4 linked regions of the Notamacropus eugenii genome follow. The protein of the gene in region 3 purifies or fractionates together with the protein of the main gene of each other region. This does not show direct contact. Links are inferred from orthologs where the notes say so. Each region holds a gene or a part of one and is shown on either strand. Other genes may lie near its edges. The genes, in order: CDK9, C1QBP, DDX21 and DKC1.

Evidence for each region.
Region 1: the proteins of DDX21 (region 3) and CDK9 purify together in Homo sapiens (affinity purification with mass spectrometry; 3 studies listed by BioGRID and IntAct, with this or other methods). This does not show direct contact. The link is inferred for Notamacropus eugenii from reciprocal best matches to the Homo sapiens genes DDX21 and CDK9.
Region 2: the proteins of DDX21 (region 3) and C1QBP purify together in Homo sapiens (co-immunoprecipitation; 3 studies listed by BioGRID and IntAct, with this or other methods). This does not show direct contact. The link is inferred for Notamacropus eugenii from reciprocal best matches to the Homo sapiens genes DDX21 and C1QBP.
Region 4: the proteins of DDX21 (region 3) and DKC1 purify together in Homo sapiens (co-immunoprecipitation; 3 studies listed by BioGRID and IntAct, with this or other methods). This does not show direct contact. The link is inferred for Notamacropus eugenii from reciprocal best matches to the Homo sapiens genes DDX21 and DKC1.

What each region holds. Positions count from the first base shown.
Region 1 is NC_092872.1:479,054,119-479,060,990, reverse strand, and holds the start of CDK9 (cyclin-dependent kinase 9), read right to left. Parts: upstream 3,023-6,872; 5' UTR 2,569-3,022; exon of another isoform or gene 1,938-2,568; intron 1,653-1,937; 5' UTR 1,438-1,652; coding exon 950-1,437; intron 30-949; coding exon 1-29. UniProt on the Homo sapiens protein: Protein kinase involved in the regulation of transcription.
Region 2 is NC_092877.1:389,110,078-389,117,428, reverse strand, and holds the start of C1QBP (complement component 1 Q subcomponent-binding protein, mitochondrial), read right to left. Parts: upstream 3,009-7,351; 5' UTR 2,707-3,008; coding exon 2,478-2,706; intron 1-2,477. Other genes in the region: ATP-dependent RNA helicase DHX33, read right to left, coding at 5,988-6,296.
Region 3 is NC_092872.1:260,118,608-260,126,237, forward strand, and holds the start of DDX21 (nucleolar RNA helicase 2), read right to left. Parts: upstream 3,012-7,630; 5' UTR 2,983-3,011; coding exon 2,896-2,982; intron 569-2,895; coding exon 56-568; intron 1-55.
Region 4 is NC_092879.1:10,721,326-10,728,179, reverse strand, and holds the start of DKC1 (H/ACA ribonucleoprotein complex subunit DKC1), read right to left. Parts: upstream 3,003-6,854; 5' UTR 2,863-3,002; coding exon 2,847-2,862; intron 2,260-2,846; coding exon 2,192-2,259; intron 1,743-2,191; coding exon 1,656-1,742; intron 793-1,655; coding exon 701-792; intron 1-700.

The sequences.
Region 1 (6,872 bases), about 220 Mb from region 3:
TTTGTCGATGTTTGGCCTTGAAGACTTCACTGCAAGCCAAGTGATGGCACGTTTGTTTACCCAGGCTCTTTTTCTGCCCAGCACCCTCCTCCCAGAATTTATCAGAAATGGCAATTACCCTTTATCCCAGGTTCTTACATCAATACTAGAGTTGGAAAAAGCTTGGAAGTTATTTACTCTAAAAACCTCTCACTATACAGATAAGGAAACTGAATGGGGGGGGGAGAGGAAAGTATGTGTGCCCAAGATCACATTATAAATTAGTGGTCTGAATCCCAAGCCCTTCAGCTTGCCACCAAACCATACCCTTACTTTAATTGAAAAATACAAACAAAAGCCTGTCTGCAAAAAGATTCACCTTCAGATCTACTCCCATCTTGAAAGTCCCTTACTTTCCAACCTTTCCAGCGCCTCCTTTGTTCAGCTCCTCCCCCGCAAACTGAAGCCCCTTCACCGTCTCTGGGGATTTCCCCTACCTGCCTCTTATCTCTCTACGACCTGAACCTCCTTACCTCCAAAGCGCTTCTGGCCAGGCTGCCCTAACCTCCAGGGTTCCCGGCAGACTCACCCCTGGGGCCGGACCTCAAGTCCTCCAGCCTCCCTTTGTCGGACAGCCTCGAGGCCCCAGCCCCAAGAGCCCCCCTCAGCCTCGAGATCCCCGCCACAAGGGCTCCGCCTCCAGCCCCAGGCTCTAGAGTCAGGCTGTTAACTTTCCAGACTCGGGTCCCCTTCCCAGCGGGCGGTCGCCCCTCGGCCTCCTGGCCTCGGACCCGCGGCTTCGCTCAGGCCTCGCCCTTAACCCTCCCCAGCGTCCCGCGGGCTGTCCCGTTCTGGTCCCGGCCCCGGCCCCCCGGCCCGGCCGGCCCCTGAGGGTCCCTTTCGGTCTGAGGCCTCGGGAGGCCCCCGGTACCCCCCTCCCTGGCCCGGCCAGGCCAGTCCCGGCGCTCACCCGAAGGTGCCCTGGCCGATCTTGGCCAGCTTCTCGTACTTGGACACTTCGTCGCAGAAGGGGCATTCCACCGTGTCGTACTGCTTGGCCATGGCGGCCTCGCCGGTGCCTCCCGCCGCCCCGCTGGCGGCCCCCGCTGCCCCCGGCCCGGGTCCCGCTGCAGCTGCCGCCGCCGCCGCCGCCGCCGCTGCTACCGCCGCCGCCGCCGCCGCGCCCCCCACGCTCCAGCCCCCTCCTCGGCCCCGCCACTTCCGCCTCCCGGGCCACTTCCGGCCCCGAGGTGCCGGCCCCGCCTCTTCCGCCCTGCGGCCGCCGCCGGGACCCCTGGGACTTGTAGTTCCCGGGAGGACGGGGGCTGCTGGGGCTGTAGAGCCGCCACCGCCGCCAACGCCGCCACCGCCGCCGCCAACACTACCAACACCTCCGGGGCCGGGAAGGCGGGGCCCCGGGATGGGGGCGGGGGCGCGGGGCGGCCCGTCCCGTTGCATTGGCCCGGCAGCTAGCCCGCGGAGCTGCTCCGGAGCGGATCCCGGGCGAGCCGCAGTCTCCTCCTCCTCCTTCTCGGCTCCGGCTTCTCCGACGCCGCCGCCGCCGCGGGGCTGGGGGCGGGGAGGGGAGGGCGGGGGGAGCCGCCCCCGGGAACCGGAGCGAGAGCCGGGCCAGGGGACGCTCGCTCCTCTCCTCCTCCTCTCCCAGGCCCGGGCTGGGGCAGGAAGGGAAGGAGAGACTGAGACAGGAGGAGGAGAGGACACCGAGACGGGGTGGGGGCGATGAGGGGAGCCTGGAGGGGAGGGGCTGGGGGCGCGTTATAAAGGGGGGGGTAGGGAGGTGCCGCCCGTTCTCGCCCGCCTACTCCGCGGGCGCACCTGCCGCGACTCCGCCCCGGACCCGGACTCGGACCCGCCCGCTGGGGTGGGGGGAGTGGGGGTTCACGGTACGTCACCAGCCCCAGCCGCGGCCCCTCCCCCCTGGGGGGTCCCGTCCCCACCTCCCCTCGCCCCCGTAAGTGCCGGGGAGAGGAAAGCGAAGAGTGACGTGTGGGCCCAGGAGCCCGGACGCCTGGGAGTCTGCAATCGAGCCCTCGGTTCAGTGCGTCCCGTTTGCCGCCCGGCCGTGCCTCAGTTTCCCTTTCTGCACCCTAGGCCAGGGCACCAGGGGCGCCCCCGGGTCTTAGCCGTCGTGGGGACCGCGAGCAAGCGGAGCCCTTCCCTTCCCGCTCCCCCCACCCCTCGGGCTCCGAGTTGGGAGAACGGCCGAGAGGCGCACGGAGGAGGCGCGGAGTGAGCGGGGGCCGAGCCGGGGGGCGGGAGCCGCCTTCCCCCCGCCGGCCCCCCGGTTCCCTTGGTTGACATGGCAACCTATCGCCGCCAGGGGGAGCTGCGAGACCAGAGGAGCGGAAGGAGGGCGGGATCGGCGGGGGAGGCCTGTTGGGGGCCGGTGGGCAGAGCCCTGGGGGTTGGGGGGTTCTTTCCTTCTTCCCTCGGGCCTCAAAGACCCGGGAGAGCCGAGGGCCAGCTCGCCCTCCTCCTTCTCTGGGTGCATGGGGAGCGGAGGGAGACACGCTCTGCCTGGGCCGCCTCAGTTTCCCCCAGGGCAGGGCGTTCACTTCGCAAACTCACCATGTCCAAAACTGACCTCCTCACTGTCCTTCCAAACGGACTCAGCCGTCAGACTTGGCCGTCCAGGTCACATCGTTCGGGGGGACGAGCTCCTCGGGCCGGACCTAGGCTGGGGACGGTTGGCATTAGCAACAATGAATGCCGCGGAGACCTGCGCTTTCCCCACGTGTGCGCCGCTGTGGGGGGCACCTCCTGCTGGGAAAGCTCCCTCCGGGGCACTGGCTGGCTCAGCCACCAACTCGGCCCTGGCCGGAGAGCCGGGAGGGAGGGCTGGAGCCGAAACGCCTGCTCAGTACCTCAGCCACCTCCACCACACAGTGTAAACCAAGTCTCCCGTGTCAGGGGACGGTGTGTGCCCTCCGCTGGCCAAGACCTTGATCCCTCACCCGAGGTGACTCCCCTGGGAGCCCTTCCATAAACTGTCTACACTTGTTCTTCCTACTGCTTCTGATCATGAATTACAAGAAACAATAGCTCACGTTTGTCTACAAACAGCTTCCCACCACTCCGTGAAGTCAGTGGTGCATGCACTAAACCCCCACTTTGCAGGTGAGGAAAGGTCTCAGGAGCAAAGGGGCTTGCCTATGCTCGTGCAGTTAGTAGGGGAAGACACTAAGCCTGGAACCCAGGCGTGTCTGGTCATCAAAGCATGCCCAGTCTCCTTTGAAGTAGCCTTTTGATTCCTTCTTCCCTCCCTAATCTCCTACTCCCACCAGCTCGGGCATTCCCTCTCCGCACCCTGATCTGGGGCTGTCATTCTGCTCTCCTGGCCTTTCAGAAAGAGTCAAGGAGATTAGCAAGGAACTCAAGCTTCCTGATCCCTAGCCATCTTTGCTTTTCACCTAGATTATTACAACAATCTCCTTCCTGGCCTTCCTCTCTATTCTCACTCTGTCCTGTTCTTACAAAGGCTATTAGAATAACCTCTTTGAAACTATGTCATTTCCCTGTTGGAGAACACAAAATGGCTTCCACAACTGCTTCCAGCATTAAATCCCAAGTCCTTAGCCTAGTGCTCTCTGCCATACCTCTCCAACCTTGCCTCCAATATTGCTTCACCCCATCTCTCCAACCCTCCGCTACCCTCCATGAATTCTCCAAGAGGACTGGTTTCCCCACTATGCCTGGGGAACACCTCTAGAACTTTCCTGTTTCTTTGCCCCCCCCCTTTTTATTTGCTGGCAGCTTCTCTCCTACTTGGAGAGCAGAACCTGGCACATCCTACAGAGGCAATGAAATTCAATTCAAGGAGCATTTATTAAGTACTTACTATGTTCTAGGCGCTGGGAAAGGATAGAGTGGGGGCACAGATAAAAATGAAAGACTCACCTTCCAAGAACTTACACTTTTAAGGGGAGCAGAAAACATATAAATAGAAACTTAAATACAAAATAGATGCAAAATCATTCCTAGGTAGAGGGCACTAGCACCTGGGGGTGGGGGTGGAGGGTCAGTGGGCTTCCTGTAGGAGGTGGCAGTTGAGCTGAGCTTTGAAAAGAGCTAGGGATTCTATGAAGAATGAGTGAGGAGAGAGGGCATTCCAGGCATAGGGGACCACCTGGACAGACACAGAAGCAGGAGATGAAATATTGTGGATGGAAAATTGGAAGCAAATTGGTTTTGCTAAATGCTTCAGTGTGTGAAGGAGGGTGAGGTCTAATAAGCCTGGAAGGAAAACTGTGCTTTAAAAGGTAAGTAGAGGCATTTGTACTTTATAACAGGAGCATTGAGGAATCACTGGAATGTCTTGAGGAAGGGAATGACACAGACCTATGTTTTAATAATATCAGTTTGGTAGTTTATGGGGAATGGAAGGGAGGCTGGATATGGGGATTCAGAGGCTATTGCAATAAGCCAAGGGAAAAGTGATAGAGGCTTAAAGGAAGATGAAGGCAAATGTATGGAGAGAATGCCATGGATTTGAGAGATGTCACAGAGGTGGACTAGACAAGACTTACCAATTTGCTTGCATATGGGGCGGGGAGGAGGGAAGTGAGGATAAAGGAGAACAAGGAGTGAAAGACGATTGAATAGGAGAACCCAGCTAATGGAAAGAATAGTGATGCCCTCAACAAAAACAAAGGAAGAGGGGAGGATTTTGGAGGAAAGACAGTTTTGTTTTGGATATGTCAAGTTTGAGATGCCTTACAGGATATCCAGCTGGAGATGTGCATTGGATAGTTGGTGATGTGGAGACTGGAGTAGATAAAACCTGTAAATTGTACCCTGTATCCTATTGTCCACCAAAGGCTTTCTACCTTCACTCTAATATATGGGACTTAACTAGTCACAAAATAAGTTGCTAAAAATCTCAGAATTAGAAGAGTAGAATTTTCTTCCATCAAAAATGTGTGTGGAACTCAAGCCCCTAGGGAGTGGTGCAAGGGTGCTCTAGATACCCTGTGCTTGCTGTGTCTAAAGATACTCCAAGAATGGCTGTGTCAAAGCGTTGTCCTGGCAAGACGCATGACAAGGTGTCAGTAGGTGCAGAACTATATATCCAGAGAAGATCTCTTAAGTGGTAGGAGAAAGATAATAGAGAAGGATCATAGATGTAGAGCTGGAAGGGGCATTAGGAATCATTTAGTACTACCCCTTCATTTGTTTTACAGAAGCTCAGGTGGAGTGACTGTCTCAAGGCCACACCCCTCCAGGTTGACAGAGTCAGAGTTCAAACCTAGGTCCAGGGAAAACTCCAGATTTACCATCCTTTCCACAAAACATCATTGCCATTTCCTCTGTGGAGCTTGGAAGAGCCTAAACAGAGAAGACAAATAAATTGAGGAGAGGTGAGAAATCACAAGGAAATACAAGGTAGGATTCAAGAGGATGGACTTTTTAGGGTGTGAGCAGACACGATTTTGCCGTCTTTTGGCTTTTTGCCTTCCCCTGTTCAGAAGACAGACCAGCATGGAATAGGGCAGAGCAGGTCCTTGAGGGAAGAGAAGCCTTGTGTTCATGTGACTCTTCCCCTAAGCGACAAGGAAAGGCATCCTGAAGCAGAGGCATTTGGGAGTTGTGTGTGCTAGTCTGAAAGTGGTCTGAATCTTGAGACATCCTGAGAGTAACTACTTTCCCCACTCAAAAGATGGCCAAAAATGGGGCACTAAGAGATTTCCTGCAGAAGGACGTGGCAAATGCAGTCATGTGCTTGTCCGTATTACTCAAGAGAGTGGTCCATGGACAGTGTTTATGAATCCCAATATCCTGCATAGATGAGTTAAATGCGTTGTGTTATGTGTACCCTAAGCAGTGTAATACTGAAATCTAGCCTTATGGCCTGAGAAGGGAGGTTTTCTGGGCAAGACCTGCTGTAGGGCTTACCTTGTAGAAAACTCTAGGTTCGAAAGTTCCCAAGGTTGAGAATTTAGAGATCAGACCACCTACATACCTAGGAAGAAAAAAGAAGACCACTCATAAAGTTCCTGAGCGCTCTCCTACTTGGAGGTCCAATGGGAAGGGGGTTGACCCAAACTGTGCTTGCCTTCAAACCACAGAGTAACACTATGATTCTGGGAAGGACTCTGTGCCCCTCTGGGAAGGCTATGGGCCCTCAAGAAGGTTAAAGGGTAACCTTAATGGTGATTCCAAGGTCAGGTCCCTTCTGAGGGTAGTTGATGGGCTATGAGAATTCTTTATGTATTTCTCTGTTTATAGGTTCCTAGGAGGCCTTTGTGTTTTCTAACATTTTCTGAGGTTTTAGTCATCTATCAATCAAATGAGATAATATTTATAAAGTGCTTCATTTAATACCTTAATAGATACCTTAGTATAATACATAGTAGGTGCTATAAATGTTAGCGATTATTGCTATATATTGCTATTATATGTGTGTGTGTTTGTGTATACATACACATATACATGTGTGTATGTATCTACACATATGTATGTGTATATATATCCATGTATAAATATATAAGTGTATATCTATCCATCATCTATCTATCTATCTTATCTATCTATCTCTCTATCTATCTATATCTTAAGTGCCTGTACTGGAACTAGGGCCGCATTGCCCATATTTAGGGAAACCTAGACAGTAGCCAAAAATAAGCATATTTAGAGATTTTCTTAGACTAACTCTAGGTGGGCCTAACAAACCAAAGAAAGAAATTACCCTCTTGAATCAACCCCAAGACTCAAGAACTTTCTAGGGAGCCTAGTGTTGGGGACTGGGAATGGGAAGGGGGGGAGGGATGGGTCAGGGATGGGCCAAAGGTTATGTTACCAGTTCTTATTTCTACAGTGGTCTATGGATATTGTAATGGATAGTCCCTGAATTCTCTCTTAGGTCCAAATCTTGT
Region 2 (7,351 bases), on a different chromosome or scaffold from region 3:
TAAACCATGGGACAAAAGGGAGGCATGGGAAAGAGACCCAAAGAGTCCAGTGCAGATAAAGGGATTCATGTACTAATATTTTGGCAAGTCACACTGCAGGAGGAAATGATCAACTTCTCTGGACTTTTGTCCAATGGGTGCCAGCTGACAGAAGCAGGAGACGTTAAGTGCACTGATACTGTTGTCGGTCTAGCTTTTCTTAGGAATCTTGCTACCTGGACTGGGGAAATCATTCATATTTTTCTCAATTTGAGACTGCCAAGTTATCTCCACAGTTGTGAAATACGACATCCTCCATCCACTTCCCTCTGACTTTGTTCGGGGGAGACACAGCATCTATAATGTCCACTCTTGGTCTCCCACCGAGGTGAAATCTGTTTGGAGATGACAGCTGACCCTCAGCACCTGCTAGACCACTTCCAGTGTTCACAGTGAATTTGCCAATCTTTCCTGAGTAGTTTGTGTTAACACAACCCCTGGACAGTTGTGTGCACTTATGGTAGCACTAGGCCCCATTCCACAACCTTAAGTTGTGGACTGAGCAAAGAGTGACTCACTGGATCCTGATGCTGTGGCTCACTTGCCACAGAGATGGTGCTGCTCAGAGGGGACAGAAGGCAGGGGCAACTGAAGCCAAAACACTCATTGTAGAGGAAAGCCAGATCCAGAGAGGTCAGGGGGCCACAGTCAAGGCCCAGCAATTACATTTAGGCAGAAGCCTCATTTAAGACACCCTGAAAATTCCGTCTCTGCCAAGTCTGCCCTGATTAAACAGAGGACCTGGGACAAATCTCCCTCTGTCCACCCTACCCAAACAGGCACACTAAGGGGAACCTGGTCCATTTAGGGTTAGAGTCCGATGGTCTATTTGTTTTGTTGGGCAATTTTGGGTCAGATGTCCCAGTGTCTAAATAAGGGGCAATCTAGAGAGACCAGCCCTAATCATTTTGCCCCTGCTAAGTTATGGATGAGGTGCCACATGCAATGGTGCCGCTAATTCCTTCATCTTCTACACTGATGAAATCTTAGGTCCAGTGGGTTCCCCTGAGAACAGAGATGCTATGGGGAGGGTGCAGAGTATCACAAGGCAGCCCAGTAACTTGATGGCACCAGCTTCTGCTTGAAGACCACCCACGAGGGATGCCACCTTCCACTTCTGGAAAAATGGGGAATAGCCTTTACCTCCCAAGGCCCTCAAGAGGCTCAAGAGTGAGAGAATATTTATAAGGTGCACAGTGCCTAGCACATAGGAGGTTTGCGATAATGTTCTTCCTACCCTATTCCCTCTCTGCCATAGCCATCAACTACCCTGGGGCCAAGCACAAAATCTCACATTAATCCAGTAGCTCTGAACTGAAAGAATCTCTAATCCTCTACAGAAATATCTCTGTGGGCAGAGACTAAACAACTTGACCAATGTAACAAATGAAACAAAAACCAAAATAAAAATATAATGTATGGGGTCCTAGGGTGTGATCATCCTTCATTGTGGAAGAAGACCACGCCAGCAGAGAAATAACGACACGACTTGCTCTTGACTTTGTTTTGAGTGAGGGAGGGCTGTGCAGGTCACCAGCCTCACTTCTCCTCCAGACCCATCTGAATCCAGTGACCTGATATTCCTCAGGATGACTGGAGATGACCCAGGAGGAGGCAAATTGGGGTTAAGTGACTTGCCCAAGGTCACACAGCTAGTGAGTGTCAAGTGTCTGAGGTGAGATTTGAACTCAGGTCCTCCTGACTCCTGCACTGATGCTCTATCCACTGCACCACCTAGCTGCCCCACGGGGTCCTAGTATTCATTAGGCAAATATGGCCACCAACCCACTCTCCGCCTATGAAGTGGTTTTTTCTCAACACTTATTTCTCTTAATCCCCTCTCCAAGCAGCCTTAGCTCCACTGCCACCACACCTACCCTCCCCGCCTGTTAAAGGCAGTAGCAGCATCCATTGTCTGTGGGAGCTGCCAGCATGTGGGTAAACTCTTGGGGCGCCAATTCCAAAGGCAGAATTGCCCGCTGGACTGGGCACCCCAATGCGCTGTGGATCGTCCTGGGCTCTGATGATCATTCAGCGTGGTTAGAGTTGGAAACCACAGACTTAGCAAAGTCGACAGAAGCCAGAAGCCAGATGAGTCTTGACAGAGAGAGTGTCGGATCGGGAGAGGACAGAAGGGCAGACTGAGCCAGGATGGCCTGGCAGTGGGAAGGCGAGGCAGCTACAAGCACTCCCCACACCAAGGGTCACCTTGAAAATAGGTCAGGGGGTTAGGGTCAGAGCCACGTGGGGCCTGCTCCCTCCGTAACTACCCGGGCAGGAGCCCCAATTCCAAACCCAGCCCTCGCCAATCCGAATAATCGGCGCCCCGAAAGCGACTTGACCGCCTTTGGGAAGGTGTGCGGATCCACGTGCGCACCCCATGGGGTCAGCGTGGGAGCCCCTCCCCCGCTCTCCCCAGGTCCCGGCCGCGCGCTCACCCTCGGTGTGGAGCCCCCCGCACGTGCACGAGCATAGGCCAGGGGCATTCCGGAGCGGCTGCAGGAGTCGGGGGCGCGCGGGCCCAGGCCTGCCGGCGATTCCTCCCCCCAGGAGGCCTCCGAAGGCGCGGGTGGCGGCGGCCATGGGGGGGCGCAGCGTCGGGAGGGCGGCGGGACGCAGGGCCCGGGCCGCAGGGCGCAGCAGCAGCGGTAGCAGCAGCGGGGCCATGACCGAGACACGCGGAGAGGCGTGGGAGCGCCGTAGGAGACCGGAAAGACAGCAGAGAGTGCGGAGCACGCCGGGAAATGCGCTGGCCGGAAAGGCCCAAGATCGTCCCGTTCCGGAAGTTCGTGCGCCACCTCGGAGGGTCACAGCGCCCCTCGTCGGGAGATGGTGATAGCACCAGTGAAGGTACTCAAGGACTGCACGATGATTGACTGGTTGCGACGCCACTACTGGAGTCACCCGACTCTAGAGCGAGGAGGGCCCGGAGTTTCCCCGAATGGCTCGAGACCGCGTATTCTCTGGACACGCCCAGACGTGAGCGCACTTTCCCCGCCTGTTTTCTGCCTTCCTGTTTAACCTCATTGTTTTCACCATCCTTTTGTCCGACCCTCCTCCGAAGGAGGCGGGGCTCCATTTCAGGCCAGTTTCCTCCAGAGGCATCCCCATTCTCTGTCACTGACCGCGAGCGCCCAGGTTACGTTGTATCTAACTTGCATGTGACCGAACTGACTTCGCTGCAGGTTAAGGTTACATTGTATCCAACTTGCATGTGTACATAATATCCAATATGTACGAGCCGGAAATGCCTGCGCTTCAGGCTAAGGTTACAAAGTATCCAACATGCACTTGTGGGAACTGCCTGCGCTTCAGGCTAAGGAAGGGACCGGGAGCGCCTAGCCTGGGGTACCTAGAATCCCAGCTACCTGGGACTGAGCTTAGATTGTATCCAGCCTGCCCGGATTGGTACCTCGGAAGGAGAGATCCTACATACACTCGTGTCCATCTCGGCAGTTGTGAGACCTACACCTCCATCCCACACGGATTGGAGGTATCCCATTCTGCTTAAATGAATGACAGTGTACCTGCATTATCCGTAGCTAGCAAGGACCCTGAAAATTCTCACTACCGAAGCTCTCACAATTCCAGAGGCCTCGGGAGGAAAGTCTCTGCCCACCACTGGAGACACTAATGCTGGGCTCAGTGTAAATGTGATGGGTTCAGACTCTGGGAGCCTTCTTGAATGTTCCCACTTAATCTGGCCTTTCTTATTCAAATCTAATCTTCCCATTTGTTCCAGCAGTCTCAGGAAGCCCTTGGGCTTTTCATTATCGCTGTGCACTGGTCTCTGTTGCACTCCCCACCCTTGATCCTATTAAAACCCCATTCCCCAGGCTTCTGACCACTCCCATCAGGATTCTCTCCTAGGTTTGATCTACCAAGACCATCCCTGCCAACACCTGGATGCTTCTCAGTCTTTTTCTGTATTTAAATTCCATCCCGATTCCTTGAAGGTGCTCAGATTCAATCCACCTCAGACTCTGTCTGAGATTCTATCTGGGAGAGTTACAAAAGCTTAGGCTCCTTGAGTCAACCCAGTATGGCAAATCTTTAATAAACTTTTTCTTTGGCTTTAAGAAAGCTTGAGTTGAATTCATTTGGGCAGGACCTGGCATGTCGGTATTTCAGGGTCCCCAGCACCCCTGAACCTCAACATATGGACAGTTTTTAGACATGGTCAGCACAGACTGGCTTGCTTGACCTATTGGTAACGGTTCTTTTTGTTTGCTTTGTACTTTCTCGATGGGCAAGGGAAGGAAGGTGGGATCTTCTTGGCAAACATACTGGAAAGGTTTGCCATTTCCTTCTCCAGCTCATTTTACAGATGAGAAAACTGAGGCAATTGTGCAGGGTCATATAGCTAGTGTCTGGGGCCAGATACTTCTAATCCACTGTGCCACTTAGCTGCCCTAATTTTACACACACACCCACACACCATAATATATAATACATGTGGTGATTGAGATAATCAGTAATGGAAAGGCACAAAGATTAAGGATGGCCCAGAAAGGCTTCTTGTAGAAAAGGGGATTCTAGCTGGGGCTCAAAGGAAGGCAAGAGACAGAACATTCCAGACGTGGGGGTGGAGGGTAGCCAGAGAAAATGCCAGACATATGGAGGGCCTTGTTAGTGAAACAGACAGGAAGCTGGGATCACTGAATCCAAAAGTCCAATTTGGGAAGTAAGGTATAATAAGACTGGAAGAGGGGGAAGGGCAGATAATGTAGGGTTCTTTGTGTTTGATCCTAGAAGCACTAGGGAGCCCCTGGAGTCTATTGGAGGGGGAGGGGGTTATGGGGGCAGAGAGCCTGCACTGAGCTTTAGGAAAACCATTTTAGTGACTGAGGGGAGGATGGACGGAAGTGGGGAACATTTGAAGTCCAAAGACACCCCCCAAACTGGCTACTTGGACAGTCCTGTGTACTGTAAGAAATGATGCAGGTGACTGGTAGGGAAGGCTGGGAAGATCTCTAAGAGCTAATGCAGAGACAAGAAAATGTGCAAATGAACAACCGCCCTCTGAGATCCATGAAAGCATGACCTGGTTTGATCTGAATTCTGCAGCTTCTCCTGCATGGGCACAGGGCTCTCACACAATGAGCTTTGTCCTGAAGCCTGGCACAGGGCTACGTATGGGTGAGTACTTCACTCCAATTATACAGAGCTGCCAGGGACCCAGGAGACTGGGGAAAGGCCTGGTGAAAGCAGGGGTGTGCACCCAGGTCTGCTAGGGTATGGCTGCTGCCTCCAAATATTCGAAAGCTCACCTGTGTAAGAATCACTTAGCAGCAGAAGCTGGGTGGTGGCATGGAAAGTGTTTTGGACTGTGGTTGAGGAAATGCTGAGTCCAAGACCTGCCTCAATCCCTGCCAAAGTCACATCAACTCCGCCAGCCTCCATTTCCACAGCACAGAAATGGGAACAATGACAGAACCTAGACCAGGCTTAAATGAGATGAGAAGGTGGGTAGATATAAAGCACTTTGCCACCTGTTACCACCAGCAGCCAGAAATGAGCAGACAGAAGAATTTCCTCAGGCTCCACAGCTCCTGGCAGGGAGGGGCTTGGAGCCATGACCCCAAGGCCTCTCCACCCACCCCACCCCCATCACCTCACACCTCTCTTGGCACCAACTTTGGCAAGGCCCCCAGAGGAGCCCAAGCTAAATGAATGAGGCCATGCAGCGGCAACATCTCCTTCCTAAAAATTTTACAAAAGTCAATTTATTGCATTTTCAATTGAAAAACTGTATATGGATAAAAACTAGCCAACCGTGGCAGATTCCTGCCCACTAGCCAGTAATGAGCACAGCTCAAGCCTTTGCAGCAGTTTCCAAAGCCATCCCATAACAGGCATGGAATTCTGACCTTCCCTTTCTGCCCCAAGCTCTGAGGCCGCCAGTTGCCTCTCCCATCCTGGCCAAACGTCGGCCTGAGCCACGAGGCTTAGCTGCGGGCGGCCCGCATCTTTCTGCGGAAGTACTCAGGCGCAGCATCATAGAGCCAGTCTGTATCGACCACGCAGAGGTCCCTCATGTAGCACTTATTGGTGGACAGCAGCTCATTGTAGGTGACGCAGGCTGGTTTGCAATGGAACAGCACAGAGGACGGGTGGATGGATACTGGTTGGCGGGTATCCACGGTTACATAGGTCCCATCAGACTGAAGCTCGGCAGTGTTCATGAAAAGGCCATGCGCCAGGCATCGACGAATGTTCCCCGTGTCTGCCCGTGAAGATTCGATTGGCATCGACATCTGTCGAAGAAGAGGAGAAAGATGACTCTTGATGACCTAATTCTCCCCATCCGACTGAGGTTCAGGCCAAGATGCTGAGCCCCAGCTGGCTGGTGCACAGAGGGGAAACTTAGGTCCTTTTCCTCCTCATGCCAGCATCTGTCATCCAAATGATCCATTAAAGAGCAAGGTGCTATCCCAGGGAGTGACCCTGGGGAGCAGGAGACGTTCCTCCCCACATTGTGCTAATAGGAGACAGGCCCTACTGGGAGTGCAGGTGAGGGGTAGAGACCCTAATCATTTCAGCCAAGAACCAACTAAAATTCCCTAGAGAATGTCCATCTGGGAAACTACCAAGACTGAAATTCTCAAGATGCCAAAAGAACCGATCCTGCTGAGAAGGAAAAGTGGTCTAAAGAGCTCGCCCTCAATGCGCTGAGGCTGCAGACATGGACGGAAGGAGGAGGCAGGTGCTAGAGGTGGTGGACGCCTGCCTGAGCTCTGCCAGCCCTGCATCTGGAATGCCAAGGCTCTGCCATGAGCCTGGCCTGTGGAGGAGTGGGAATGTGGACAAGGGCAAGCCTTCTTCCAACTCCACATAGGAAGTAGCCTCCAGTGAGTGGGAGGAGGCTCAAGGAGTCAGGTCTGGTTAACTGGTAATCCCCACCCCTACCTTCCTTCACCCCTGGAGGGTCAGAGGAAGGTCAGAGGATACACATGACTGTAAGGGACCCCAGCTGCTCTCCATGAATTCTAAGCACCCTCAGGCTGATAACATGAGGGCAGACCGTGGTCAATGACCTCTAAAAGATGATGCAGAATGGGGTGGGGGTGGCGCCAGCCTCTCCCTTGCTTACATTTGGCTGAAGCCACCCTGAAATCTGCCTGACCTTTCTCTTTCAGGTCACAGTCTAACAGAGGGTGTGAGAGAAGAGGATGGCCTGTTCCGAAGGGGAGTCTGCTGCTACTACCCCTTCGCTAATCTTGCTGGACTGCCTTTCTTCCATCCCATGGGATTTTTCAAGGAGTTTCCTCCTGACATCCAGCCTAGGAAGGTCATGCTGCCTCCTGGGTCA
Region 3 (7,630 bases):
AAAAACAAACCAACCAACAACCTCCACTGTCCTGCTTTGTGAGAATGCCCCTCACCTGCTCAGCCTCACTGTCACTGTCTTCACTGGATGACTCCTCTGAATCAGAATCAGATGCCCTCTTGGAGTGGGGCAGTCCATTCCCCACTGATGCCTTCTGCAACTTTGACTTTTTCTCTCCTGTGTCTCCATTTATTGGTCCCTCCTTCTTCTTGGCTTTCTTGAGTTTCTCAGAAAGCTCTTTGCTCTTTTTGGTCTTAGAGCAGACCTCACTGCTAGAGGCATCCTCCTTCTCCTTCAGCCTTTTGGGCTCCTCCACCCTTTTGGGCTCCTCCACAGACCCCTCCTTGTTCTTTCTGAACTTCTTGGGTTTAGGGGAAGCATCTTCCTCTTCCTCTTCCTCTAGGAGGTGCTCTTTCTTCTTGGCCTTTTTGGACTTGGGAGAAATGACTTCTTCTGGGAGCGCCTCCCTTTTCATCTTCTTGGGCTTAGGGGAATAAAGTTCCTCAGTCTCTACCTTGACCTTCTTTTCTGGTTTCTCATTTTTTGATTTTTCTTTTTTATCTTTCTGCTAAATTCAAAGATAATTCAAAGAGACACACGTTAGGGCCAAAATCTACTTTTTTTTAAACTAACAAATATCTTCATTTCTTTATTCACAACTACTAAACATAGCAAAGAAAATTAACTGCATCTGGCCATCTCATTGAAATCCTAGAAACCATCTGGATCCATTTCAACTTTCAAATTTTACAAATGAGGAAAATGAAGATGGGAGAAGTTATGTCACTTCCCCACAGCCACAAAATTTAAATTCAGCCTGGTACCCAAACTCCAAACTCAGGGACATCCCTGCTGAACCATGCTGCCCTCCCCTCCTTTACTAATTCTTTTTTGCTATTTGATCATTTCAGTCATGTCTGACTCTCTGGGACCCCATTTGGGGTTTTCCTGGCAAAGATCCTAGAGTGGCTTGTCATTTCCTTCTTCAGTTCGTTTTACAGTTGAGGAAACTGAAGCAAATAGGGTGATGTGACTTAACTAGGACCACACAGCTAATAAGTATCTGAGGTCACATTTGAGCTCAAGTCTTCCTAAATCCAGGCCCAGCGCTCTACCCACTTTACCACCTCTTGTCCAACCTTTTTCTAGCTACGGTTTTGAGGGACAATAAAGAAAAGAATGGGAAAGAAAGCCCACCCAGAGCATTTCACTATTCTTTACCAGACTCAATTCAGGAGAATGCTGGCAAATGAAACAAAATCTATCAATCAGTCCCATTTTTCTACCACCTTGTTGCGATTTGGAGATTATATTTCAGTCAAGAGCTGCAGGTAAATCAAGACTGTCCCTTTTATCTGTTTTAGTTTCTGAGTGATAATGTCCCAGAGGACAGTGAACTTAGCTGCTCAAAGATACACCACAAATGTTGAGTTTAGGAGGAAGAAAAGCCATTGACACTGGTAACTGATCTTGACAGAGATGGTTTCAATGGTGACAATTCGATGCCACAACATTGTTTTATACCAAAAGAGGTATATAATACCTCCCACCTCCCCCCAAACTACTTTACCTGGATACCTGAGGGGTAAACCAGGTAATGTACAGAAAATGCTGTGTACTCTTGACTAGAGCAAAACCACAGAATTCTAAATTATTAGAAGAAATCAAACTTTCCTTATCCTTGGCAGTTCATAAATTATGCAGAAAAATGGATCCAACACGGGTCCTAAATTTCTAACAGTCTAATTGTAGATGTGAAGCTTTCTGTAACATATTCTACCCCTAGCTCATGCTATCCTTTCAGTACTAGTCACTGTTCCTGGGATGTCAATGGCACACCACGTGTCCTAACCCCAAGTAACTTGAAACATTGTATTAAGCGAATGTTATTTCACAGAAGTTAAAATTCTATAATAAGAAATGGACAATCATTTACACAATAATTGTGATCTCTGAGCACATCTGCAGGCCAAAAAAGTCATGCCATTATTTCAAGCGGGTATAACACAATGTCTTTACTTAACTCACCTTCTAAGGGAAATCCAGCAGTTCCTAAACAAAGTTCCCAGCTCCCCTTTATCTGTGGTCTTTCCCATTACAATTAAAATCTCTGAAGGGACCTCTTTATTTTCCTATATTTGTATCCCCAGCGCACAGTACAATGTCTGGAGCATAAGAAGGCTTAGTAAGTGCTCTATGTATTGATAATTAGGCATAAGTCTTTCCCCTTTCTCCCGGCATACATACACAAGTCCATAATAAACGCTGTGGGCCTGGTTGGCTGCCGGGGCACAGCAAGCTCGCTGGGGCAGCAGAGGGGAGCCCGCCTCTCAGCCCCTCCCTAGACCCCACCCCAGGCCCTAGGACGGCCGCCCATTGGGCAGCGGCTCCAAGCCGGCACGATGACGAGCGCATCCTCTCACCCCGGGCAGACCTAGCACGTGCAGGCAGGGACTGGGTGTCGGGTCCGGCCCGAATCGCCCAGAGGGGGTTAGGGGCTGGGGTCCGGGGTCCTCCGCCCGGCTGGGGAGGGGAATTTTAACAAGAACAGCGATAACAGCCGGCGCTTTGGCCCGCGGGGGCCTCACTCACCCCACACCCCCGGCCCCCCGCCGCCACCGGAGACCGCTTAGGCACAGTTTCCTCCACTGGGCCACGGCCCACCCGTGACCCTGTGATCCGGGATCTTAGGCCCCCTCGCCTCCCCGGACCTCACAGTCCTCACGTGCAAAGCGCAGTTGGGGGGTGGGTGCTATGGATAAAGTGAGGTTCAGAGGCATCAGGAGCCCCGGAGCGCCGAGCCCGGCCAGGGCTGCACGTGGAGCCGGGGCCAGGAGGCTCTCCCATACCTCCCTCCCCCTGCCCCAGTCCGAACCTCAAAGCCCCCGCCCGAACCTTTTGTTTGTGCTTCCGCGTCTGCTCCGTCGCCTCCATGGACGCCTCCGACTCGACTTCGGCCTCTAACAGAAGCTTACCGGGCATAATCCTCTGGCCGCGAGCTCACTCCACAACCGACAACCGCGTGGAAAGGAAGCAGAGAGCCGGCAACGTCACTTCCGCAGAGGCCGGAAGCAGGAAGCAGGAAGCAGGCGCGCACTCCCGGCGACCACGTGAGGGCTCCGGGCCTCCGGAAGTGCCAGAGGAGGAGCCGGGATCGGCGCTCGCGCGGGAGCCCTGGGTTCTGCCCAGTCCTCTCCTCAGCTCTTACGGTCCGGGGACGGGGTATGGTCAGCGTCGGCCCCCTCGACCCTCTCCCCCGGCCCGGTCTTTCCAGCGGCCAATAGACGCCTAAAAAACAGGACTCGAAAACACGGTGCAAACCGCGGGCGCATTAGATACCCAGGGGCCGTTTAGGCTCCGCCCAGGGCTGGAGCTAGCGGAGGGGTGGGGCCTGGGGGCGGGGGCCGCTGCGGGAGCACGGTGCTGCCCCGGGGAAGGAGGCCGGGGTGTCTGGACCACCCAGGTCACTCCCTGAAGTCGCGTGCGGTCCGCAGGGGAAGGGGACCCCGGGGACTGGTCCAGCTCCCCACTTTATAGGAGAGGAGACTGAGGCCGAGCGGCGCGCGTGGCGGGGAGAGCCCCGAGAGGCTGGGCTCGGACGAGGTGAGCCCCCCGAGCTTCCCTGCCGCTGCTCTGGGGGGCTGGCGAGGCTGAAGGGGACACGAATGTGCGTGTGGCCCCGTGCCGCCCTCCTGTCCTTCCGACGCCAAACCCAGGGTTAACGAGGACACATCGCTATCCACAAACCCCCCCCCCCCCCCATTGTTGCTCAGTCGTGTCTCACCCGGTTTTCTTAGCAGAGATACTGGAGCCTTTGCCATTTCCTTCTCCAGCTCATTTCGCAGATGAGGAAACTGAGGCCGTGACTTGGCCGGAGTCACACAGCTAGTCATTCAGATTTGAACCCAGGAAGATCGGGATCCAGCACTCTATCATGCCCACTCCTATTACCTACCTCTGGGATAAGTTACAAGCTCCTTACCAGACATTTCAGGCCTTCATTTTGGTGGAGAGACCCAGGTTCAAATCATGGCCGTGCCACTTAGTAACTCTCACCCACTGGAATCTCAGTTTCCTCCAGGGGACTGCATGAGATGACTTTGAAAGTCCTTTCTATCTCACTCCATGATGCCATAATCAAGCTTCAGCCTGATGGGACAGCAGAGGGGACACAAACTATTATACTCCATCCCCACCTCCACCTTGGAGCAGTTTTATTTTCAAACAGCAATAAAAGTTGACCCACTCTTCCTCAAAAACCAGTTGTTAGCTGTCTCTCTTCTCAGATGTTCCGGGTCTCCCCCTATGCCTTTTTACTCCTAATTTGAAATAGCCATTCCCCCAGTGGAGGTAAACTCCTAGATTACATCCCATATATTATTCTCATAGCCCCAGAGTGCTAACCTGAAGAGCAGGTGCTTTTAGGATTGTTGAATCAGCTAGATTAGACCATCTCTAAGGTCCCTTTCTGCTCTAACTTTAAGAACTGTCTATTCCATATCTTTGTGTCTGGTACCCCTGGAACAATAGCAGTGGCTCTTCCAATCAATCAGACAATTAATATTTATTAAGCACATACTATGTGCCAGATACTGTGCTTGTGCTAAGTAAGCACTGAGGGTAGAAAAAGAGGCAACAGTCGCTGCTATGGAGGAGCTTAAAATCTGATGGGGGAAACAAGCAAACACATATGTACAAAGCGAGCTATACACAGGACAAACAGGAACCAAGAGAGGGAAGGCACCAGGATTAAAAGGGGCTGGGGATGGTTTCTTGTAGAAGATGGGATTTTAGTTGAGACTTGAAGGAAACCACAGAGGTCAGCAGTCAGAGTGGAGGAGGGAGAGCACTCCAAGTATGGGGGACAGCCAAAGAAAACAGCAGGAACCAAGAGAAGGAGTCTCTTATTCCTGAAAAGACAGGAAGTCAGTGTCACTGGTCCCAAACACACACATCATGTGTGTGAATACAAGAATACATGTCTGGAAATATAGGAGGGGGCTAGGTTATGAAGGGCTTTGAATGCCAACTAGAGCATTTTGCACTGGCTTCTGGAGATGACTAAAAGCCACTGGGGTTTACTAAGTAGGGGGTGTGCTTTTAGTAAAATTAGTTTGGTGACCAGACTGGAGGATGCATTGAAATGAGGAGAGACTTGATTGAGTCAGACCCACCAGCAGGCTAATTTTTTCTCATCCACGTTCATGGACCTTTTGGGGGGTGAACCCCAAGTTAAGACTTCCTCATAAACCCTAAGCCACATAACCATTCAAAAATCTATTTCTCATATGTAAAAGTAAGATATGCGTAGGACCCACCCTGCACAACAAAAATGAGCTGTTACATCTATGTAAATGACACCCCCCCCAAATCTCTAACTGATCTCTTCTGAACTCTAACTGAATGCCTCCTCAATTAGAACTGAAAAAGTTCTTTAGAGGTCATGTGATAGAACCTACCCTCTTTTTGTAGGTGAGGTGATATGATTTACCTCAGTCACTCATTAAGAAAATGATTCTATTACCCCTAACATTTGAATGTTCAAAGGTTTTCCTATGCTTTCAGATACTGATTGGGTTCCCAGTGGAGTGTTGGTGTAGAAGGACAAAATTTTCTTGATGCTAGGAGACCTGGGTAAGAGCTTAGCAGGAAGGAAAACTTAACTTTAAAAACTTACCCAGCCCTGCTAATCACAGGCATTAATGTTTTCTTGGAAAGAGCAAGAGTCCCCAGAAAGAATGTGGAAGTTTCTTTTGCTTATCATATACTGACTGTAGATTTTTGTCTACAGAGCACATACCTGTCACAAAGATGTTGTCTTTATGGAAAGTTTGCACCTTATGACAAGAAGGGGATAAGAAATGAGGAAAACCAGGAGTAATAATGTACCAATGTTGGATATTCATTTGGGAAAATTCTTCTCATATTTTGGTTGTAGCATATACACATACCTAGCTGTTATCTCTCTCTGTATATTTATCATATATATGTATAAATTTACATGTTTAATATCCTCCCACACCTAGATTTATTTATATTCTTTTGATTTGGGTAACTTCACACCCCCTGCAACCCAAGAAAATATTTCCCCTGTGACTTGAGTTTTACTTACAATGGCATCTCCTGCTTTGCCAAAAGAAAACAATACTCAAACACTGCTGCTGCAAAAATAAAAAAATGATGCTTGGATGAGTCATTAACCTCTGAAAGTCGGTTTGTTTTCAAAATTGGTGAAATAACTTTGCTTTTCTCACAAGATTATAATGAAGAAAGTGAGTTGCCAATCTTACTATTACAATACTAATATTATTACTATTGCAAGTTGTTATTTTTTATTATTACTTATTTATTATTACTATTATCAGCTTACCCCGAGAATCCATCCCTCTCTCCTCTCCGTGGACCCACTTTGACTCCTGGAAATTCTTTCCATCTTTCACGTCCCAGTCCGGCAGTCTTTCCATCTTCCCAGCCCTCAAATACTTTTTAGTATCTTGCCTTTCCTTCCATTTTTTCATGACATTCTTGTTCGAACAGTAACTGGCTGTTTGCCCTTACACAAGTAATTTGTCTTTGAGAGAATTTTTACACCTACAAACTGAAGACTAGAAAATTACAGCTCTGATATCTCACAACTCTATTTTATGTCACAGCTCTTTTTGCCTGTTTATCCCCTACTGAACTCTTAAGCTCCTTTAAAAGCATATAATAGCGTCTTCCACCTAATCTCTTCATTTATTTCCTTGACCTGAGCACAGTGCCCAGGCACTGAAGGAGCAATGGCTAACCACGACTTCACAGTTCACCTCTGTGGCACTTTCAGGGCAAAAGGAAATTGTGAGTACTGTATCTACACAAAGGCCACCTTGACTCTGAATGGGACAGGCTCTTCTGTTGCATTTGTTTATCAGATAATGAATCATACCCAACAATCCACACAAGGCTATGGAGACTCAACTGTACTACGATCCTAGAGTTTTACCAATATGCCAGTTCCAGGCAGAAGAGTTAAAAATAACCCATGAAATACTCTAGGGGCCTAAGAGTCTGGGAGAGATGAATGCATGAAAAGTGGGCTGGTCATTTTACAAGACGAAGAGAGGACAGCTGGTGAATCCTGGATTGGTGCCCTTCAGTGTGGAGGATACAGACAACTCACACAAGGAGAGAAGGAACAGGGTTCACTCTCCCATTTCCACCTGCAGCTCTGCTTGGCTTGAACTCTACTGAACGTGATGCCCTACACTGAGGACAGCCTGGTGGCACCCACCCCTTCCAGCTTCTTTCTGTATTGTCTTCCATCAGATTGTAAACTCACTGAGGGCAGGTACTGCAGGTAGGTGGTACAGTGCATATAGCACCAGCTTAGAATCAATGACCCGATTTCGAGTTTGACCTTAGACACTTACTAGCTGTGACCCTGGAAAGTCACTTAATCTGCCTACTTCCTCATCTACAAAATAGCGATAATATAGCACGTAAAGTTGGTGTGAGAATCAAATAATTGTTAAGTGTTCTGGCACACAGTTTATCGAATTGCATGGAGGATGAGTTATCATCTGCCTTCCTGGAAGAAATGCCTACCACTGAGAGCACAGATATACCAAAGGACTTGGTCCCTTTATAACTA
Region 4 (6,854 bases), on a different chromosome or scaffold from region 3:
TTGTTTGCCACTGCTTTGGCGATACAAGGAAAATCTCAGGATAACAAACTCCACTTGACCAAATTACAACTTGTTTTGTCATTTGGAGAGCACTTTCCTAGGTGCTGTGTGGCCAGGAGTCCAAGGGCTATGAGCCTAATGTCAGACAAGCGTTAGTCCTCCCCCTCCCCCTCCCTGCTGTGTTAAGGGTATTGTGTAGAGTAAACAGGTATGTTTGGCAATGTTTCAGGTGCACAGAGATGAGAATCACCACAGGGTAATTGCTGCTCAGTGAGAAGCACAAGAGTCATGAAGCTCTCACTGCACACAGCTCCCTCTCTCCCTCTCTTCCTGAAGTAGTAACAGCAGATAAACAGGTACATTTACTGAGCAACTGACCCCCAATCAGGGATTGGAGAAAAAATGTCGTACCTGCTGGTTAAGCAGAATTCCTTGCCCACCATATTAGTTCAGGTGTCAAGTCATAGGCAGTCTGCATGGACATACTTCTGTTATAAAGCCTTGTCATGCCCTTTGCCATATAATAGGATTTTATCTGCAAATTGCCCCAGACAGTACTAAAGCAAACCCCCCCACACCCCCCAAACAGGAAGGATTATATTACTTCCAATATGTTACTTATTTTAAGAGTTTTAATATAAGTGGGCAGAAGGTTTGAACCCAAGGTAATGAAAAGTCACTACTTGGCAAAACAGCTTACCTGATATAGTCTGTAATTTCTCTCTTGAGAGGGTTAGATCCAGAAGGAAGGGGAGTATAGTGGGTTGTCCTTACATTTAGTTTATCGAAGTTCTAAAAAGTGATGACAGGACACAAATCAAACTCAATTAGCAAGCAAATTCTCAATTTTTTGACTTACCCTTTTCTAAGAGACCCAGAGTTAAGACCAACTGGTCCCACACATGGAAAATCCAATGAATCAACAAAACCACCAATCTACACCAGGAACCAATTCACCAAAATCATTTTTCTGAGCTATCACACTGCAGATAGCAGAAGGCATGGGCCTCTCGAATGGACTTCTTTTGGTTTGAGAACTTTATATTTCTGCTTGAGCACTGTGGGATTTACTAAATATTTAAGTTTCAAAATTCTAATATTCTTACCTACAGTACTGATTCCCAAAATGAAATATAAGGAATCAGAGTATTTAAATGAAATGCTTTAAATAACAGATACAACTTGTGCTATGTGATTCTGATGGGGGGGAAGGGAGACTGTATATTGTCAAAATTATGCTGCCCCCCACTGAGGATACAGATATGGATACTGCCTCTTTGGGCAGGCTTTCTGAACAACTCAGCACAAGGAACAAAATGCTTCTTTAGCTAATAGGTGAGAAGTCTTATAGCATAAAGAACAATTCAATTAGACAATACACATCTTCAAGTTTTTGTTTAAATAACAAAACAAAAATCTGCCTGTATAATTTTATAGAAGACACGAAAAACTGGCAACAGATCTATAAACAGGACTTTTTTTGTAAAATGCATAAACCACATTTACCATGCACTAGAATTTACAGGTATACAGAACTCAGTTTACAAAATGAACTAGTTGAGATTGTGCACCAAAACTGATTTAATCAATTAAACCCCAACCAATATAAAATCACAAGGCAATTATTTGATGTATAACGTTTACATATTCCTTACCTTTAGCAGTAAGGGCCACTGAGATGTGTCCAACTGAATTACTTTAGATTCAGGTTTGATGAAGAATTCCCCTTCATGTTGTAGATCCTAAGGCAGGATGAAAAAGTCCAATGACCTCAATTTCATAGATTACAGGCATTTCCTCTAAGTGCAGGCAGGCCAGAAAATACAAAGCCTAACAACTGATCCTAACCCTTTCGGATGATTGTGGCTCCCAAAAAACGGTACACAGAACCAAGCAGAAACACAAAGAAACAAAATATGAAAAACACTGGCCAGTTGTGTTCCAATACTCCAGAGAAAAGGCAGAAAGGACTGCAGAGTGCATGTGGCAAACAGTACTTGGTGAATACTGTCTTGGAATCCTGAGAGCAGGCTAGAGGAGTGACTCCCAGAATACAAATGTGGGTGCTCTCCTAGCTCAAAAGAGCACACCATCCGGGTTCTTTCTTTTCTAAACATGGCCCAATCCTACAGTTCCCAAGAAGAAATGGGGAATTACCAATACTGGCAAGGAAAAAGCATCGTGTACTCACAGCGACATCGTCTTCTCCCAACACTCTGCGCTCCTTTTTTTTCTTGTGCTTCTTGGATACAATGACAACTTAAAAAAAAAAACCAAAAGATGTCTGTGAAGTTGGGGCTCGTGGGTGCCCAGGCCCGTGATCAGGCTGCTTCTCCAGGACTCCCACACGTGCTTCCTTCCCCAGGGTCACCACGTGGCCCGTTCACAGGTTGGGCAGGGGCACGGGCATCGGCAGCAACCCCCGTCCGCGGCACCACCCGCAGCTAAGGGGCAGCTTCCGGGGGCTGCCAGGACATGCTGTGCCTCCCCTACCCCAACCTCGGGGGCCCGCACGCGCCCGCCCACTAGGAATAACGGTTAAAGCGCCCGGGCCGAGCCGCCCTCCGGGAGCGCCCCGGATCGAGTCGAGCCACCCTCCGGGAGCGCCCCGGGCCGGGCCGGGCCGAGCCGAGCCGAGCCGAGCCGCCCTCCCCGAGCGCCCCGGGTCGAGCCGAGCCGAGCCGCCGCACGCAGGCGGGGACCGCGCGCCAGGTTCGGGCCCTGCCCGGGCCAACGGCGCTCAGGCCCCGCACCCCCCGCGCGCTGGGCCCTGCGTGAGCCGCTCTCGCCGGACGCCGCGACGTACAGATCCGGGAGGCCGCAAAGGAGCGGAGGCCCTTTCTTACCTTCGCCGTCCGCCATGTTGGTGGCCACAACCAGGGGCCTCCGGCCCGCGTGCTCTAGCCCAGCGCAGAAGGGAACGACTGAAGGCAGCCCGCTTCCGTCCCGTGAGGCAGTGCGGTCCCAGAGCCGGCCTCCTTTAACGTCAGAGTGACGCGTAGCGTCCCAGGGCGCCCGTTGGCTGACCAGAGGCTGAGGGCGGTGCCCCGTAGCGGTCTTCGTGTGTCTGATTGGCTGCCAGAGCAGAGGCGGGCCCGCGGGGCGAGGGGCGCCGCGCCCGGGAGAGCGGATGGGCGGGGGGCGAGCGGAAGCGCGAACCGCCCCGGCCCTGCCCGGCCTAACCTGGTCCGCCGTTGTGACCCCGGCCTAGTCGCGTCGTGCCTCTGCGCCTCACTTTCCTCAGCTGTAAAATAACCGGCCTCGCCACTCGGCCCTCATTCTTATGAGCTGCGCCCACGCCCGGAAGGCCTGGCATCCGGCCCTTTCCCGTGCCAGCCTCTGGTTGCAGACCTCCAGGCTGGGTGGGCAGCGCCGTGTGACAGCCGTGCCCCTCCCCGTCCTGGCCGCTCTCGAGGACCCCACGGAGCCCACAGATGCTGCTGATCACAGCTGCAACCCACCCCTTCCCCCAAATTGGTTGGCATTCGCCTTTTTTAAGGCCCTTGCTATATGCTTGTGTTGGGGATATAAAGGCAAACCCCCAGATCTGGCTTATTCTCAAGATCTTAGTTTCTCCCAAATTCCGAAAGGAAACAAATGACGAAATACAAAAGAATTGGAGGGGGAGAGAGAGCACTTTCCGTTGAGGTGGGGGAAAATCAAAGAAAGAGCCACAGAGGATGCGGCACTTGAACTGTGCCTTGATGTCCCCCAGATGAAGCTGTTACAGTTCAGGCATGGGGTATACATATGTATGGCCTGAATGATGAAGTCAGGGAGGTGGTACATTATAGGAAACAACCAAGACTACAGTTGAGCTAAAATGGGAATAATGGGAAAGACTAGAAAAGATAGCTTGGAGCCAGATTATGGAGGACCTTAAAAGCCACACCAAGGGGTTTGAATTTTGGCCTAGAGGCAACAGCAAGGCATTGAAGAATTTGGAACTGCTGTATGATGGGTCTCAGGAAGATTATTCAGGGAGTTGTTGGAAAGATGGATTTGAGTGAGAAGAGACCAGCTAAAAGACTGTTGTGGCATGTGGTTCAAGAAAGAGGTGAGGGCCTGGACTCGGGTTTGGGGCATGTGAGTGAAGCAAAGGAGACAAACGCAAGAGATGAGGGGAAGCTAGAATTGACAGGACTTCATCACAGCTTAGAAATTGAGGGGAAGAGGGTATGAGAGAGATCTAGAAGAATCAAAGATAACTATAAAATTTGGAACTTAATTAAATGGAAAGACAATGAACGGAAATGGGGAGATATCTATTAGGGAGTTGGAAATACACCACTGAAATTCAGGGGAGATATGAGATCTAGATATATGGATTTTGGAGGCAACTATGTAGAGATGATCAAGTCTTCAAGAGACAGTATAGAGAGAAAAGAGAAGCAGGCCCAGGACAGAGCCTGGTAGGGAGGCTAGACACAGTATTAATGACACTTAGAATTAAATGAATATACATTGTAAGGAAAAAGTTGATGGGGGTATAGAAATTAACTGACAAGAAGGGCAAAGGTACAGGAGTAAAGAGACAAAGATCACTAAGGTCATGAGTGGGTGGGTGGGTGAAGGTGCTTTCTAGGTAAGAAACTTTTAGCCAAGACCAATCAATTTAATTCCTCCTTAGTTTTGACCCCAGAAATCCTCCAGCAGAAGCAATAACTTCTGAGACTGTCCCTTCTGAGACAGGTTACATGGCACTTACATGGTATCCCTCTTCAGAAGCACTGGGAATTTTGGGACTTACACCTGGCATAAGGAACCAAACATCTGAATTCTAGACTTCACTGTTCAAAGGCCAGCCTTCTCTCTGTTAAATGAGAACTCCCTCACCTTTATCACTCCAAGAATAAACAAGTATTATCTAACTCCATTTTACAGAGAAACAGTGTGACTCTCACACACTAGCAAGTTAAAGTATCAGGTTTCCTGATTCTAAGCCCTCCAGGCTTTCCACCATACCATGTGGCTGGCCTCCCATGCTTCTACAGAGAACAGCAACTTAGTATTCAAAATGTTGCTCATTCTTCTTTGGATTGACTTCAGAGTAACATTTCCTGTATGTATCACCTTCAAGCAAAGCCCTCAAATCATTTCAGCAAATATTTACAAAGCCCTAGCACCTGCTACTGTTGTTGTGGTGGTGGTGGTGGTGGTGGTGTTTGTCCTTCGTTCTCAAAGAGGACCATGACATCAAGATGATGACATGACTTGCAGTTGACTTTGATTTGAGTGAGAGAGGGTTGTGCAAGGTCACCAACCTCACTTTCTTCTCCTGAGCCATCTGGGTCCAGTGGCCTGATAGTCATCAGGATGACTGGAGATGGCCCAGAATGCACTGGGAGACCCTGGCCCTTTCAGGCTAAGGTTCCTATAGCATTCTCACTTTGAGTAAGATACACCCATTCAATGAATAGGCTTCTTTAAGTAGCTGCTCAAGGGATGGCCCTTGATCATCAAAAATTAAAAAAAAAAAATCAAACTGGGAGAAGACCTTCAGGGTTCCTGGGTAAAAGAGAAACAATTATTATTTAGCAGAAACAATTACATGTGCCAAGAACTCAAGCAAGCCCTACATCTTATTATTATTATTATTATTATTATTATTATTATTATTATTATTATTATTATTAAAGCTTCAGGGTACCCTCTTGGAACTGTTAGTTCTTAGAACTGAATCCCTGAAACTGTATCTTCTTCTCCCATGCTTGAACTCTATACATTTTCACAGTATAACAAGGAAACTGTTCTGGTGTGTGTGTGTATATGCGTGTATGAGAGAGAGAGAGAGAGAGAGAGAGAGAGAGAAAGAGAGAGAGAGAGAGAGAGAGAGAGAGAGAGAGAGAGAGAGAGAGAGAGTGTGTGTGTGAGAGAGAGAGAGAGAGAGAGTGTGAGAGAGAGAGATCTTACAAGTCCACTTCGTCTTCCATTCCCCAACTAATCCAGTTCCCATGGCTCCAGCCTTTTCTTTCTCTGCCCTGTCTTTTGTCTCTTTTTAAATCCCTAGTGCTTAGCACCATAGTAGGAAGAGCTTGCTAAATGTTCTTTGATTGATCAGTTGATTGTTGAAGGGTTGAGGATGCCTTTGAGGTTATGAACCTGGGTTCTGAAAGGATAATAGAGAAATAAAGATGTTAGGAGGAATGGTAAGCTGAAGGGGAGAAATGAGTTCTTTTCTGGACATGTTTGATATGCTTATGGTCCAATAAGATGTAACAAGCAATTGGTAATATGGGCCTATTTCTTGGAAAATGAAAGAGAGCTGAATGTGTAGATTTGGGAGTCAGCTACAGAGATGATAGTTGGACCCATGGGAGCTGATGAAATCACTGAGAGTATAGCTAGCTGATATAAGAGAAGAGGGGCCCAGGATGGAGATCTAGTGCACATCTACATATAGATCAGATTCCAGCAAAGGAATGTGAGGAGACTAGAGGTCTGTATCACAAAAACCCAGGGCAGAGAGAATATTCAGGAGGAGAGGGCTAGTCCAGAGACAGGAAAAAGGATGAGGCCTAAGAGAAGGCCCTTGGATATAGTAACTAAGAGATTGTTGATGAAGCCAAGAGAACAGTTTCTGTGCAGGGGTGATAATAGAAGCCAGATTGGAAAAGGTAGAAAAATGAGTGGGAGGTAAAGATGTGGAGGTAGTCACTGAAGACCACTTTTTCTAAGAGTTTGGCTGTGAAAGAGAAAAGATTCCTGGAGGGGATAGTAGGACCAAATGAAAGTTTGGTTTGGTTTGGTTTTGTCTTAAAGAATAGGGGAGATCTGGCTATGCTCCTGGGAGGTAAGAAAGGAGCCAGTGAATAAACAGATATCGTGGATTAAAGAGAGGGAGTGGCAAATTC